Linked DNA regions of Arabidopsis thaliana. The protein of the gene in region 1 interacts with the protein of each later gene in a pairwise test. Each region holds a gene or a part of one and is shown in the gene's direction. Other genes may lie near its edges.

What was found. The genes of interacting proteins can lie anywhere in the genome.
Region 2: the proteins of AT1G29120 (region 1) and AT2G16900 interact in a two-hybrid assay, tested with the Arabidopsis thaliana proteins (one large-scale study listed by BioGRID).

The regions. Positions count from the first base shown.
Region 1 is NC_003070.9:10,171,277-10,180,658, forward strand, and holds AT1G29120 (Hydrolase-like protein family), read left to right. Parts: upstream 1-2,910; 5' UTR 2,911-3,204; coding exon 3,205-3,394; intron 3,395-3,936; coding exon of another isoform or gene 3,937-3,939; coding exon 3,940-4,087; intron 4,088-4,315; coding exon 4,316-4,383; intron 4,384-4,724; coding exon 4,725-4,795; intron 4,796-4,911; coding exon 4,912-5,157; intron 5,158-5,464; coding exon 5,465-5,628; intron 5,629-5,710; coding exon 5,711-5,766; coding exon of another isoform or gene 5,767-5,795; exon of another isoform or gene 5,796-5,858; coding exon 5,859-5,914; intron 5,915-6,337; coding exon 6,338-6,506; coding exon of another isoform or gene 6,507-6,535; exon of another isoform or gene 6,536-6,584; coding exon 6,585-6,682; coding exon of another isoform or gene 6,683-6,718; exon of another isoform or gene 6,719-6,762; coding exon 6,763-6,867; 3' UTR 6,868-6,870; exon of another isoform or gene 6,871-6,954; 3' UTR 6,955-7,245; downstream 7,246-9,382. Other genes in the region: AT1G29110 (Cysteine proteinases superfamily protein), read left to right, coding at 407-860, 1,245-1,795; AT1G29140 (Pollen Ole e 1 allergen and extensin family protein), read left to right, coding at 7,753-7,921, 8,189-8,535.
Region 2 is NC_003071.7:7,321,862-7,329,519, reverse strand, and holds AT2G16900 (phospholipase-like protein (PEARLI 4) family protein), read left to right. Parts: upstream 1-3,202; 5' UTR 3,203-3,634; exon of another isoform or gene 3,635-4,108; 5' UTR 4,109-4,145; coding exon 4,146-4,269; exon of another isoform or gene 4,270-4,490; coding exon 4,491-4,783; intron 4,784-4,931; coding exon 4,932-5,663; 3' UTR 5,664-5,905; downstream 5,906-7,658.

The DNA.
Region 1 (9,382 bases):
ACTTTTTAAGTATTCAATTTATTTGTTTCCTTAACCATGTACGGTTTAAACGCAAATGTAACACTACCCAAAACCTAAGCTAGGTTGCTATAGTACACATAAAATATAGCTAGATCTTATCTTTTTTTTTGTAGAAAATGAAATTGTGATGAAATATATATACATTACTAGCAATACATTTGCATATAAAGAATGGAAAGTTATCTTGCAAAACAAAGAAAGAAGTTATTCCTCTAAGATCATGAAGCAAGTAAAGCAAATCACCACAATAGAGTCATAAACCTTCATTTGCTTCAACCACAATTCTCATTCCATACTATATATATATATAAAAACTCTTTCTCCCCATTTTCACTTCTTCATCACCACAACACAAACACTTTAAATATTACTCACAAAAATCGAAATGGTGTCTGTACGATCTGTGTTCGTGGCTCTAACCATTCTTTCCATGGATCTAAGGATCTCTCAAGCCAGACCTCATGTCACTTTGAACGAGCAATCAATTGTTGATTACCACCAACAATGGATGACTCAATTCTCTCGAGTTTACAAGGATGAATCCGAGAAAGAAATGAGGCTTAAAGTGTTCAAGAAAAACTTGAAATTCATTGAGAACTTCAATAATATGGGGAACCAAAGCTATACACTTGGTGTCAACGAGTTCACGGATTGGAAAACAGAAGAGTTCCTTGCGACCCACACCGGCCTCCGCGTTAACGTAACTTCACTATCCGAACTATTTAATAAAACGAAGCCATCAAGGAATTGGAACATGAGTGATATCGACATGGAAGACGAAAGCAAAGACTGGAGAGACGAAGGAGCTGTAACACCTGTTAAATATCAAGGAGCATGTCGTAAGAATACTGTGATCATTTATTATAAACACTTTACACTATAATTGGAAACAGCGTTACAAGAAAGGATAGCATATTCCGACCAAAGAATTTGTCGGAACATCTTGTTTCAGCCGAATTTCCAACGAAACAGATTCGTCGCAATTCTTTGGTCGGAAAACAATATACGTACGATATAGTAAACGGCTGGATTGGTCATTTAATTAATGTCAAAATTACATTCCACATACAAAAAAATACATTTCGCTAAACTTAATCCCCAAGATAGGGTTATTTTAGGTTTAGGGCTAACAGATGATTTGTTTACTAACAAAATGAAGTAACCAATATATATATACATGGGCAGGAAGTTGTTGGGCGTTCTCAGCGATTGGGGCGATGAAGGTTTGACAAAGATATCTGGCAAAAATCTATTAACACTGTCCGAACAACAGCTAATAGATTGCGACATAGAGAAAAACGGTGGTTGCAATGGCGGAGAATTTGAAGAAGCTTTCAAGTACATAATAAAAAACGGAGGCGTTTCTTTAGAAACGGAATACCCTTACCAAGTGAAAAAGGAGAGTTGTCGTGCCAACGCCAGACGCGCCCCACATACACAGATTAGAGGGTTTCAAATGGTTCCAAGCCACAACGAGCGTGCGTTGCTCGAGGCCGTAAGAAGACAGCCCGTCTCGGTGTTGATTGACGCAAGAGCGGACAGTTTCGGTCATTACAAAGGGGGAGTGTACGCTGGGCTGGACTGTGGGACAGACGTGAATCATGCAGTGACGATCGTTGGGTACGGAACGATGAGTGGGCTCAACTACTGGGTTCTTAAGAACTCTTGGGGTGAGAGTTGGGGAGAAAATGGTTACATGAGGATCCGTAGAGATGTGGAGTGGCCTCAAGGAATGTGTGGTATAGCTCAGGTTGCTGCTTATCCGGTTTTTTAACTAATTTACTTAGGTGGTTTTTTATATTGAAGTGATCATACATTTTGTAGCCTGGTTTATGATTGTTTACATGTGGTAAAATTGCAACTTAAACTTGACCTTAAAAACTGTAATATGTTCATTTTATTACTCCATATAAACGTATTTCCCTCACTTTCATAATAAATAAAGGGATGTGTTTTTCACTTAAATCGTGTTCCATAAGAAACATTGTTTGAATTTTCAATGCAAATTTTAAAACCAAATTTAAAATTATCGCTAATAAAACTAAAATTATAGTGTAAGACGTGTTAATTACAAGTAGATTTTGATTTTATTTTTCATCGAAAATGAACCTTTATTAACTTTAATCGAATATCAAACTAGTACAAATGATGGCAAATCCATGGGGCTGGATTAGAGACATCCAAATAGAAAGGTGAATCTACACATCCATATTAGCTAAATGGTAAGCGGCAACATTGTTGCAACGTTTTGTGAAAAGGAATTGGAACTCTTTAAATTTCTGCGACCAATAATGGATATCTTGACATGATATCCTTATGATTAAGATACCTTAGGCAGTATTATAAGTAGATTAGCAAAAAAACAAAAAAAAATTATATATGAATCCATCATTAAGCTTGATTTGTTTTTTTAACTTGTCCAAATAAAAGTTTAGTTTCAATATAACAACATCTACAACACCCGGTTACATATGATACCTCGAGGTCCACGACGACACACTAGTACACTACATATACATAACCAATTCGCACCATATGATATTTAGATACCCCTTTGACAATATCATGTAAGGGCTTTTTTGGAAAGCATCACTAACAAGTTAACAATTGGATTTTTACAAAAACCATAAAAATTTTACTCGGTTTAGTAGACAAATATATTTTGGTGTTATCTTACCATTTACACCAAAAAAAAGAAAAAAAAACTACTAGCAGTATTGATTAAAAATTTAAAACAGAAAATATATATATATATATATACCAAAAAATTGTAAATAGTATTCTTTTGACCTTTGTTTTGGAGTGAATTGGTTGATGAAGAAGAAGAAGAACCTGGTCCGATTCTAAACCTTTTTTTGAATATAAAACGGAATAAAAATATTCTGTGTTTGAGTCGCCTAACAACAACACGCACCACCCGAAATTATAAAGTAAAAGTAATAAAATCAAATTATATAAATTGGCAAAAGTCGAAGAAGATGATGATTGAATGTTTATTTGGCAGTGAATGGAAGAGATAGAGAGGAGCATGGGTCTCTGTGAAGAAGATAACGTAGAGAGAGTTATTATGTTTGATTCTGAAGCGTGACGTCACTCAGAAACCGTGAATCAAGGATCTTTCTTCCACTCCTTTCTCTGATTTTGACTTTCTCTCCTCTCTCTATATATAAGCTCAACATCAATATGTCTACGGCTTCTTCTTGGATTCAACAACCTCCTTTTAGATACTTACCGGATCGTGGCGGTTTCTCTAAGCCAAGCTCTCGCAGCGCGCGGCAGTTTTCCTCCGGCGTTGTTTCAGCTTCCGCTTCTTCTCCTTCGCCTTCATCCTCGTGCTCCTGTGGTTATTCGGAGATTTTGAATTTCGATTTCGGTAATAGGCTTTGATCTTCGAATGATGTTTGTCGTGTAGATTTAGGGATTGATTACTTTGTTCATGTTTATCGAATGATGCGTTGTTACATCTGGAAATGACCTGACATTGTACTGCAAAGTTTCATAGCTGAGGATTTCTCGATCAAAGACGTTGTTTAGGATGGTGAAGAATAGTATCGCCTAATTTAGATTGAGGAGGAGCTCAATTACAGTGTCTATATACACAGATTTGTCCCTGTTTCTGCAAGAGATAGAAGATTTTAAGATGTTAGATGATTGTGATATGCCAAGTAGAATTAGTGATAGTATGGTTTGTTTGGTCAAGAATCGGCTCTGTTTTTCTTTTGATTTAGAGCTCACAATTTCGGTGTCTATTTAAACAGATTTTTCCCTGTTTCTGCGATCGAAAATAAGCTTGAACATGTTAAATGATTGTGAGAAGCTAAGTAGAAATGGTGATAGTATGATTTGTTTGGTTAAGAATTGGCTCTGTTCTTTATAGCTTTTTCCGCGGGTTCATTTGTTTGATTTTTCTTTAAGAAGGGTCAAACAGAAGCTGGAACCAACAGGGACGCAGGGTTCAGGCAATGAGTTCCACAGCCCAACGGAAATTTTCGCTATCGAAAGGCGACTCCGATGACAAAAATGAACCTGATCATCTTCTTGTTCTTGTACATGGTATTTTGGCCAGGTATTATTTCTAAGTAGTTCATCAATTGAATGGTACTGGGTTTGCATCTTGGGAAACCCTCATGGTTTTGTTTTAGGTTGGATAGAAACTTGCAAGTATTTGAATTTGAAAGTTATGTCTATCATTGTCAAAAAAAAGAAAGAAAGTTATGTCTATCATTTCTGCTACTTTGTTTTCAGATTGAATAATTTATAGACTCCAAATTTACTAAGACACAATTACTTGCAGTCCCAGCGACTGGCTCTACGTAGAAGCTGAGCTGAAAAGACGCCTTGGAAGAAGATTCTTGATTTATGGTATGCTCATCTTGTTCTAAATTGTTATCATCTATTAGTTTAGTTGAGTAGTTGTTGGATTGTATGTATAATAGAAGAGAATTTTTGGGAATGAAATGGTAACGTAAGTTGAATGCATGTGCTGGGCACAAAATTGAAAACACTTCAAGGTCTTATATAATCTTTAGCGGCAAGAGGCGAAATATACATTTTCTTGAAAAATTTAAGATCTTTTCGTCTGGAACCACAACTCTTCTTTAGTTTTGTATTTTATTATAATACTCATGTGCTTTTATGCTATGCGTGGAATGGATCACACGTGATGTGTTTTAATTTACTCTGTTTCTCCTGAACATTCACAGCAAGTTCTTCCAATACCTTCACTAAAACATTTGGCGGGATCGATGGAGCTGGAAAACGACTAGCAGAAGAGGTGAGTTTTAATATCTTCATTTGCACCTCGTGTATAGGTAGGTCTTGGTTTTCTAGCCCTTAACTTCAGTACATGAGCTGATTTCTGTTCCCATTCTGGATGTGAGAGAGGAATAGGTTAGACAAGTTGTCCAAAAGAGCAAGAGCTTAAAGAAGATTTCGTTTTTAGCCCACTCCCTCGGTGGCTTATTTTCCAGACATGCTGTTGCTGTTCTTTACTCAGCAGCAATGGCACAAGTAAGTGATGTTGCTGTCTCTCAATCTGGCAATTCAAATCTTCTGCGAGGTAGGATTGCGGGGCTAGAACCGATTAATTTCATCACTTTGGCAACACCTCATCTAGGAGTGAGAGGCAGAAAGCAGGTTCTCTTCTTCTCTACTTATCATAATTGGAATTTTGGAATCAAAGAGTTTCATATATATCTCGCAGTACCTGTACGTAGATGTGGTGTATGCGTAATTAAGAAAGTAGTTAGTCGTTTTTCACATGTAAATTTCATCTACCTTCTCCTTGTGTTCAGACAGATATCATAAGTTTCATCAAAACTGTCTTGCGTTTTTTGCTATTTGGTCCCCTAAGTGTCTAGACTGATGAGTGATGAATATTAATTGATAATCCCTGTAAATTCTATCTCATTCTCTCCTCTTTTTCTGGAACCCCTTGTATCAGCTGCCTTTTCTGTTGGGAGTTCCTATTCTTGAGAAACTTGCTGCACCAATAGCTCCATTCTTTGTTGGTCGGACTGGTAGTCAGTTGTTCCTCACTGATGGTAAAGCTGATAAACCACCTCTTCTTTTGAGGATGGCATCTGATGGTGAAGATCTGAAATTCTTGTGAGTAATGCTCTTACCAATTTAAATCATTCGACCCCTTAATGACTTATCTGTAATCCTAATGCATTTCATTGTCTGGCAGATCGGCGCTGGGGGCATTTCGAAGTCGCATTATATATGCAAACGTATCTTATGACCGTATCCTGTGCATTTCTGTTGCTGTTTAACTAGTACAGATGTGCCTAGCTGTGTCTGCATTTGTTTTCTGAACTGTTTCCTTTGACATCAAGTAGACATGGTTGGTTGGCGTACATCTTCCATTAGGAGAGAAACTGAACTTATCAAGGTACGTTTCATGCTATATGAAGCAATGGAACCTTTCTATTTAATATTACCCCACTTGTTTTCATGTTCCTTCTATTATGTAAGTTGATTTCGACTCTGAAACGTGTAGCACACACTAGCTAGATGATGGGGTCATCGATATTGATAGTTAGCTTGCTGTGAAATGCTAACGGTAGCTAACTTATCCTGAATTTTGGAATTATGAGTAATCATAGAGGGAAAGTTTCATAGAGGTAAAGAGTCTAAGAAATGAAACAATTGTCTGTAGAGAATCACCAAAAATACTTTCGGCAATTCATTTATCTCAAGTAGCTTCGTGCAAGAAGCTCTCTGTGGCTTGTAACCAGTCAAATGAAACTTTGAAAATTATTTAGCTGTCACGAGTGAGATCTGATAGATATGTTTTTCCCCTGTTTTAATATAGCCTTCACGCCGGTCTCTGGATGGATACAAGCATGTTGTTGATGTTGAATACTGTCCACCTGTTTCATCAGATGGTGCCCATTTCCCTCCAGAAGCTGCTAAAGCCAAGGAGGCCGCACAAAGCTCTCCTAGCCCTCAGAACACACTTGAGTATCATGAAATTGTGGAAGGTGTAGAATTAGCCCAAACATTTGATTGATTCTTCTAAATCGGCATGAGATTTACAATTTATACAAATATTGGTGCAGAGGAAATGATCCGCGGTCTGCAGAGGTTGGGGTGGAAGAAAGTTGATGTCAGCTTCCACTCCACCTTCTGGCCTTACTTAGCTCATAACAACATTCACGTAAACTTCCAACATCTTCACTTTGGAGCTTTTTAATTCTTTGAAACATGGACTAACAGAGATTTTGAGTCTTGTTTCAGGTGAAAAGTGAAAGACTTTACAAAGCAGGAGCTGGAGTTATTGCACACGTTGCAGATAGTATAAAACAGCAAGAGTCTTCCACGTTTATTACCGCCAGCTTATAAATCGTGAGCATTTCGAGTGTTTGACCCGTTAATGCTGAGTGTGCTACGACATTTGAACCATTCCTGTGTTTTGCTTTTACCATACAGTTTGGGAGATCGGTGCAGATCAAGAATGTTCGCATCTTTGCTTCTTCTATTTTTTTTCTTGGCGAAATCAGAAGAAGTACAATCCAATTCATCTGTACATGATTTTCTTGTATTAGCTTGTTGATGATACAACACTTGAAAGATGTTATTATAGATTAAGGTTTCTTAAAGAGAAAAGTTATATATGTTCAACCTCTACTCTTCAAAATAACAGATTCAGCTGAAGACATTTGTTTCTAGTCAATTTGTTTTTGGAATTTTTCTTAATTCAAAGAAAATTGTGCAAAAGCTTTCATGTGCGGCTCAGATTAATTAGTCATTTACTACTAATAAAACTTTCACTTTGGGGTCTAGTAGATAATTCTCCACCCCCATTGAATCTTTTTAGTGGAGGTCTAAACATACATAAGATTCTATAGATTGACATTTGGGAAACCATCCTCATACAAAAAAGACCTAAACGGAATCTATGAAGAATTATTAACAGAAAAGAAAAACAGATGGCAATGAGAAAAGATCGGGTTCAAGGAAAACACAGCCGTACAAAACTCAAGAACAAAAACACCAAAAATAAACAAAAAAACTTCCAAAAATAGATATAGAATCACATGGTTTTGTTGTTTTGTCTATTTGTTCTCTATAAAAGGAGATATTTGGTTGGATCTATCATAGCGTCTCCTCTCAACCAAAGCTTACAATTTGTTCTCCCTTAAAAACTAAATTTTACAAATAAACTCTCAAATCCAAGAGAGGAGAAGACCGAAGTAAAAACACAAGAAAAAAAAGGATTAAGGCATAATGGCCAAATTCTTCATTGTCTTCCTTGCCTCTGCCCTATGTTTCACCACCCTCGTTCACTTCACCGCAGCTGATGCCGACGACTTTGACAAATTCCACATCAAGGGCTCCGTCTACTGCGACACATGCCGTGTCCAATTCATCACCCGTATCAGCAAATTTCTCGAGGGTAATTAACCACATTCTCTAATCAAATTCATTTGTTGAGCATACTGTCAATAGCAAAATATATTGGTTGATAAAAAATCGATCCCATTATGGTATATAGGTCAATGGTTAGAATTGTGTAGTAAAAATTCACAAAAATGATTACAAGCATATATAGACGTCTTTTTAACAATGTTAAAATTTTATAAAAATGTGGTTAGTCACATTTCTAAGAGTTAGTGTTGCAAGATTATAAGAAAAACTAATTACGTTATTGTGTGTATATCAGGGGCAAAGGTAAAGCTTGAGTGCAAGGGTCGTGAGAACCAGACAGTGACCCTAACCAAAGAAGCCGTGACCGACAACGCCGGTAACTACCAGATGGAAGTAATGGGTGACCACGAAGAGGAAGTGTGCGAGATCGTCCTCCTCCAATCACCTGACCCAGAGTGTGGAGACGTGAACAACCAAGAATTCCTAAGAAACGCAGCCAGAATCAGTCTCACGGCCAATGATGGCATTGTCTCCAACGAGACTCGAACCATTAACCCACTTGGGTTCATGAGGAAGACTCCTCTCGCTGAATGCCCTCAAGTTTTCAAGGAGCTTGGAATCGTCCCTGACGTCACCTTCTAAGCTTAATATACATATATACACACCCATATACATCGATCTCTCAAAGTCTCAACACTTTCAATTTTTTTGATGACTCTTTTTAATATATAAAACATTTATTTATGTTTTTTATGTGTCTGTCTGAGTTTACTAATTAACCATGTTTTTTTTTCGTTGTTATTGTTTTATTTTTGGGAGTTCTTTTTTACGAATGATTTGATTACCTTCCAATATTTATTTGTTACTTTTCGATTGAACAGATACATGCATGATGTAGTGAAAAACCCTACTCTAAAATAAATTTAAATCATTTACATGCATAGTGAAATTTATGACAGTTTGAGAAAGCTACATATGTAACATATAATGTGAATTATAGTTTGAGGTAAATGACTCAAACTGAAATAAGCAAAAGACAACAAATAAAATCGAACCCTTACCTAAAGAAGGCGGATCAGAGTTTTGTATATATTGGGCCTTTAGTCTGAGCCACTAGGCCTGAATCACAAAACGCGTTTTCACGACAAGCGTTTGCACCAGGATCTTTTGCAGCGTCTGGCGTTGGTTTTCAAACTCTGAATCCGAAACGCTAGATTTTAAGACGCCGAATTTGTTAAGCGTTCTCTATTTCCTGATTTCAGCATCTAAAGACAAATATACCCTTCAAAAAATTGTAAAACTACGAGAAGACTGTCCATTTATCTTTTCTTTCAAGCCAAAAAAAACTCTCGAATCTTCTTCTTCTTATTTCTTCTATACCGTCGTCGAAAAGCTTTACCAAAATCTCACGCCCCCGACGATTCATCGGTAAGTCTTGTTCTTGCGAAATTTCATTAATTCTTCTTCTGGGTTTGCTTATCAGATCTGC
Region 2 (7,658 bases), on another chromosome or scaffold:
TTGTTTTTAAAGATTGTGAAAGCAACTGATCAGTTTCATAATTTAAAAGTTTTTAGGATACTTTTACACTGGTTAACCTACAAATAGTATGTACTTTCCTAATGCCAAAAAAAAATTCTGAATTTCAAGTTTTACATTTATGTATTCTCTAAGTAATCTCTTTCCAAGTTTTAGAGCAGAGATGATACAAACAAGAATACCTTTTTCGGAAGAAAAACAAATTCACGATTTTAAAAACGATGATCACACCAAAACAACATCATTTTCCCATTCAAATAGTTGGTCTTCGAATTTGATGAGAGTGAGATAATTATAAGAAGAAGAAGAAATGTAGAACTGATTGTTGTTTAGTTATGAGTTTTGGTTGTGATTGATGAATTAGGTTAATCATCTATCCATGAATACACATATCCATACTTTGTTTCATACTTGAAATCTTTTGTTTTTAGTTTGAAAATGTTCATCAAACTAAATAAAGCAAAAGGTTGTAATTTCTTCATATTACCTCTCGCTTTTTTTTTTATAATTTCCAAGAAACTCATCAAGGTATAATTTACATATTTTCCCAAAATAGTAAACAAAATGTATGTATATATATTGAGTTTTGAGAACGATGACAAAATGTGAGCTACCATTGAATGAAATATGTGATGTGTTGTTCAACTCATCAAATTTGTACTTTTTGAAGTTTTATTTTCTAATATGTCTTTATTTAAAGTATTTATTTTTGCTTTGAATTTTGTTTTTAATTTATGCATTTATTTTGTTGATATGTAGTTTGTTTATAGGTGCATTTATTTTGTTTTTGTTGTTGTTGTTGTTTTCTATGTTTGATCAATTGTAGTGATTGATTTGATTTTTTAATACATATTTGAACTTTTTATAATTAACATATTTTAATAAACTAAACAAAAGGAATCTTAAGATATTATATTAATCGAATGAATATGAATTAAGAAATATATGTCATTAATGATGTTCATCAACTTTTCTAATGAGAGACTTTATGGTCATGAGAATGTCCTTTGGATTAACCTTGGACCCATCATGCTCTTCGTGGGTCAAAACCCGGAGATAACGGCTACAGCCGCTGAGTACTGTCTTTATGCACTTCCTATTTTTTTTACCAATACTCTGCTTCAGCCGTTACGAGTTTATCTAAGGTCCTAGCGAGTGACTAAACCAATGATGTGGTGTACTTTAGTAGCTATGGTGTTCCATGTGCCGTTGAATTATTGGCTTGTGATGGTGAAGCATTGGGGTGTTCTTGGTGTGGCTATTGCATCTGTTGTGACGAATTTGATCATGGTTGTGCTTTTGGTTGGTTATGTTTGGATGAGTGGGATGTTGCGGAAGAGAGTGAGTGGTGATGGTGATGGTGGGTCTACTACGGTGGTGGCTCAATTGTCATCTATGTTGGAGTTGTTTGGGGATATGTTTGGAGTGGTGGTGGTATGAGATTGTGATTGTGATGGGTGGATACTTGGAGAATCCTAAGCTTGTTGTGGCTGCCACTGGAATTTTGATTCAGACTACTAGTCTTATGTATACTGTTCCTACGGCTTTAGCTGAATGCGTCTCTGCTCGGGTATGTATCTCTATACTTCTTTGTTGTGATATGTTAATGGTCAGAATTTTAGTTAAATTAAAGAAGACTAAGTGGTCAAAATTTGAGTCAAAGCTACAAAGTTGATTTGAGTCATGATTAGACTAATGATTAGTGATTAAGTGGTCAAGATTTGAGTCTAGAAAACTATTTAACTAAGTTGATTTGGGTTTTGCATTTGAATGTTCAAAATCAAATTGTGGATGAAACGTTTGAAGTCAACACATGTCTTTGCTTTTTTTTTTTAAAGAAAATTTTTGTTGTGCCTATGATTGATATTGGAGAGAGTGAGAGTAATTAGATTAAATTAAAGACTAAAAAGGCAAAAGTCTTGGAACTTGAAGGTACCAAAACATTTCAGTAGAGGCAATAACGTTTTATTCAAAAAAGATGTACAAGTTTTTTATCTGTTAGCTGGTGCTGTAAGTTTTACCGAAATAGTGCAAAGCTCTATGAAAAAGTTGTAGGAGAAAACTGTACAAAAAAGTTGAGAGTAAACTGTTTGTAACGCTTTTGACAAAGTGTACAGCTTTGTAAAGCTTTTCCCAATCAAACCCATGAACTTTTATTCTTGTATTGCTTTCTGCTATATATATTCAAAATATCTACAATTCATATATAAAAAAATGTCTATAGAGAACCTATCATGAAGAAGAATTTACTACAATTTATGTTTAGCATAAAAATGATAATATTTAAAAAATTTAAATAATATACCTACTTTACTTAGAAAAACAACTTGTGGGCAAACTTGAAGAGTGCTTATGATCTTGAATTGACTAACGTAAAATTTTCTACTAAATTTGATAATTTGAAACTCTAATTTTTCTAAGTTTTATATCTCCTGGATAATGTATTTTTCTTGATAAGTTTAAAAAACGTTTTTTCTTATTTAATGTATTTTTTTTGCTACGAATTTTTTTAATTGATTTATTCCTTTTGCTGATTTGTAGTTTGTTTTAAAGTGTATTTTTCTGTTGTTGAATGTAATGATCAATTTGGATTTTTAATATGTTAGAAATAAATCAAATTAACATATTTACTATGTAAAATAACAATAAATATACCTTAAGATTTTATATTGGTCGAATGCTATGTTAGTATTGATTTTCAATATTTTCTAATAAACAAATTTCATGGTCATGAGAATGTGTAGGTAGCTTTGTTTTAAGCTTACATATTTTAAAATTTCTAGAATTTCTTTTTAAAAACATGTCTAATTATTAATTCATTTGTATTTACAATATGTTTATCCACAATATATTTCAAGTATTGTTTATTATACCTTTCACCATTCAAATATTTATACCATATTTCATATTGTTTCCTTTTTATCTTTCACACATTATTCAGCAACTTATTTTATCTAACTACATGAAAAATATACAATGACGAAGATAATCCCATCAAACAACAATCACTAAACAGTACCAACGAGATTTACCAAAAATACCTACGGATAATCTAACGATAACTTCTATTTCCTCATATTAAGCTGCTGAGAACCTTTCTCTCGATAACCCCATCAAACAACAATCACTAAACAGATCTTAAACATACTTCCAATAACACCCAACTACAAATTAAATTAGCAATTTTACTAATAAAAATCTTAAACCAATGAGAAAACAAAATTAGTAGTCCCCACAAATAAAATTGAAATAAAAACTAAAACTATTAAAATAAAAAGTCGGTTAATAATGAGTAGGTGTGAACAAATGAGAGAGGAGGAGGATCAGCTTTGCTTTTGTTCCCTTTTCTCGTCTCTGCAGCTTCCTTGTTGTCAACTTCTGGAAGCCTTTGATTGATTGCAACTTCTATCTCCATTCTCCTGCTCATTTAATATTCCAATTAATAGTCAATCTCGTCGAATCTTCAATTTTTTAAAGCTTTTGGTCAAATCAAATGTAATGCAAAGACAGACCAAAACCTCCTCTTCTTCTTCTTATATACTTCCTCTCCTACAAAATCTCTATTTACTTCCATCTTCTCTGCTAAAGACCTTTCTTCACCATTCCCAATTTTCCGGTAACTCTCTCTTTCTCATGTGTATGACAAAAAGTTTATAGCTTTGATCGTAAAATTCGGTGCTTTATTGTTCTAGCTACAGAGATTTTTTGTGGGTCTGCTTTGATTTCTCAATAACGATGTTCCATAATAAAGTTATGGTTTTTTGTTTGATTCGAGTTATTGTTGTGGCCTGTGGGGATTGTTTGGTACAGTGGTTTATGTATATGTTTTGGTAAAGTTGTCTTCTTTGTTTCTCTCTCTTTTGGTGGAAACCAGATTGGAGTTGTTGAACTATATGCTAGTGTTTGATTTTTGTAACCATTTTGTTTATTATTGATTTGAGGTTCTAAAGTCTTGACCTTTTTTGACATACCCTGAAGTGACTTTGTTGAACTCGAGAAGCCACATTTGTTAGTGTTCTTGATGAGCTCGGTTCTTTCTTTTTTTGTTATTCATGCTGATAGGCTTCTTGTTTTGGTTGTTTGTTTGCAGTTCTTGTTTCTGATTGAATCTAGATATTGATTAAGCTATGGATGTCAATCGGAAAGCTCACCCGGATTGTCGATATTCTTCAAATCCTTTCCATGAATGTGCTTCAGATTGTTTAGAGAAGATCTCTCAAGGCCGTGGAAATAAGAATTCAAAGAAGCAAGGTACTTTCTCTGTTCTCACACTATGTTTGATCCGTTACTCTATGAGTATGCTTCTGTTGTGATGGATATTTCTGTCTTTGTCCTTCTTTAGGTATTGCTTCAAGGATAATTCTTGGAGGGTTGTCTGTTATGACAGTTATAGTTTGATCAAGGCTTTTTAGCTTTCGATGGATCTGCAAAGTTGTTTCCTTTCTTTTCTCATTGTGATTTGGTTGTTACAGGTTCAAAGATTCTTAGCCTTCCGGGGAGTTTTGGTAAGAAAAAGACGGAGTCACAGCCACCGTCACCCCTGAGTACAAGGAACTATCAGAATGGTGCTGCTAATACCCCAAAGGTTCGTCAATCAAGACCTTCACCAGTAGCTATGAAGAAGACGCCAGTTCCAGAAGCGAACAAATCTTTACACTCTTTATCGTCTGATGGAATCTCTATTGACCTCAACGGTCAGAATGATTCTTTTAACCATAAGCAGGAGAAGCCATCGCGAACTGTTCCTCTATCCCCAAACAGCATGGTATTTCTTAGTTACCCTCTCTTACTTATCATCTACGTAGGTGTATGATATATATATTAGAGACCTGTAGAGTCTTGGTTTTATGTAATGTTCTTACAAGCAGGAGTTTGATCTTAAAATGTTCGGTTTTGTTTTCAATGTTGTTCAGGCTGATCGTGGGAAACCCTTATCACCACGACCTCAAGGGCATGAACACAGTGGCAAGAATGACACAGCCAGTGAGATTAGTTTGTTTAATGTTGTAAGCCCTCCAAGATCATGCGCCAATGATGATGATGATGATGATGATGAAAACAATGGTTACGAGGAGGGAGTGGAGTTAGACCTTATATCAGTAATGTCAGACTCATGTGTTTCGGTTGGAAAATACCGTGTGAACTCAAGTGTTTCCACAATCCTACAGTCAATCATTGATAAACACGGAGACATAGCAGCAAACTGCAAGCTAGAATCAGCATCAATGCGATCCCGATACCTAGAGTGTCTATGCTCATTGATGCAAGAACTTGGATCAACCCCGGTGGGTCAGTTAACCGAACTAAAAGTAAAAGAGATGGTCGCGGTTCTCAAGGACTTGGAGTCTGTGAACATCGACGTTGGCTGGATGCGTTCGGTTCTTGAGGAGTTTGCTCAGTATCAAGAGAACACAGACTCAGAGAAGGAGAGACAAGAAGGATTGGTGAGGTCTAAGAAACAAGAAATGGAGATTCAAGAAGCTGATTTGGCTCGGATTGAGAAGGAAGTAGCGGAGGCGAGGTTGAGGGTCGAGGAGATGAAAGCAGAGCTCGCTGAGCTCGAGACAGAGCGGTTGCGGATGGAGGAGATGGGATTTAAGGTCGAGAAATATAAAGGGAAGACGTTTCTTGATGAACTTCTGTGATGGTTGTTAATATAGAGTAAACACAATACTCCAGAAGATTAATACTAATGTTTAGTTTATGTTTGATATATAAGATGTTCTTTAATAGTCAAAACCTGATCTGAGTCATTAAGGTGAAGATTCACCAAAGAGTATTATTTTCTTGTTTAATTCTTTTGGTGATAATAAATTGTTTCTTCTTTTTATTTATTTATATTTGCATCAATAACTCATATAGTCATATTTATCTTGTATTATTTCTGCTATTTAATACACTGATAATATTTACAAGTAGGGATATGAATTATTGTACCATGTGTTTTCTAAAGAGATGAGAGTTTGGACTGCAATCTTTGGCTAATCAAAGAAACACAGCAAGTGAACTTTGAGCATAATCAACTTCTTTTTTTCATTAACATTTCAGCTTTTTACAATGAGATAACTTCTTGCGAAAACTTAATATGATTAAATAACCTCTTTTCATATTGTTTTTGTCAATAACAAAAAGCAAATTAAATTTCATCTATTTTGGACTACAAAAAAAAATCATCTCTTTTATTCTTGTGTTTTATCAATAGTATATATGTCATATACATGAGTTTTTATATATAATGTTGTTTCTTTTACCATGTTGTGACATGCTCTACAATAAATCTAAGTTAATATTGTTTCTACTCATAACGACTGAAAATTGAAATATTCACAAACCCGCAAACAATATATGCATTGTATTTATTATTTAAACTATTATTTTGGACAATTTTATATGATATATATCGTTCACATTGATTTTCACTATACTCAACATGAGATGTGATATATAGTGATAGTTTGCATATGATAATAGTAATTTCCAAAATTATGAACATGTCTGATACCACTTTCACTAGTATTTTTTAATTTGTATTATTCGTCAAACTCAGACATTCACAATAAAAAGGTTATTACGGATTTTTTGCAATTTTTCTTAATGATATTTATGGATTTTGCATTTTTGTTTAAATCATACGGATTTGCTATTTTTGAAAAATTATATATATATATATATATATATATATGATTATTTTGTTATAATACATAGTTTATAACAAATAATAAATTCTAATAATAAATGGAACTGACTAAAATTAAATAAAAAGGATAAAATACGTTAAAAATCATATTTATATATTCTAAAAATTGATAAATCCATAAGATTTTAGCTAAAGTGTCAAAATCCATAAATGCCACAATTAAAATGGTAAATTCATATTTGATTCTTCAAATAAATGACAATTCTTAAGAAAAGTTGATATGTATTCTGTTTCACAAATATTTAGTTTCAGAAGAATTTAGCAAACGTAATGTGTCCTTTCTTCTTTTACTTTTTTCTTAACAGAAAGAAGCACCTACATGAATAAAATGTAGCTCAATATTTAATTAATTCAGATACCTTTCAATGAAAACCATTTTATAATAATTGAGACAATACGTGAGTAAGAGTGGGCGCAATGTGTGTCCTTTCTTCTTTTCACCTTCTTCCTCTTTTGTCGGAAAAGTGAAGATTGAACAAGAGAAAGAATGTGAATGAAAAAACGGACACATTACACCGACTCTCTCAAGTGGTGAGGTTCTTAAAATCAAATATTTTTACCATTTAAGATGTCTCGGGTGTTAATTTTGTCGAATAAGTATCGAGAAATTACAATAGTATGTGCATGGTGGGTTAAAGCTCTAATTATTAAAGTAGACTATATACAAGATTGTCCCCGAAATATCACCTTTTTGTCCAATTTTTTTAACAAATATCATCGTTAACAACATTTTGGAGTTAATAAAAAAAAATGATTGATATGTCGGAGTCATTATTCAATATCACAGAATTATAATACACATAATGAACATTAGTTTTGGTTTAAACCCGGTTCAGTTTATCCAATCTTCAATCAATCAACTCATTAGCACCGTTTGGCTCTTTACTCTTGCATAACTCCTTAAGAGCAAATCTAAATTCTTCCAAGACGAACCAGTCCCTTG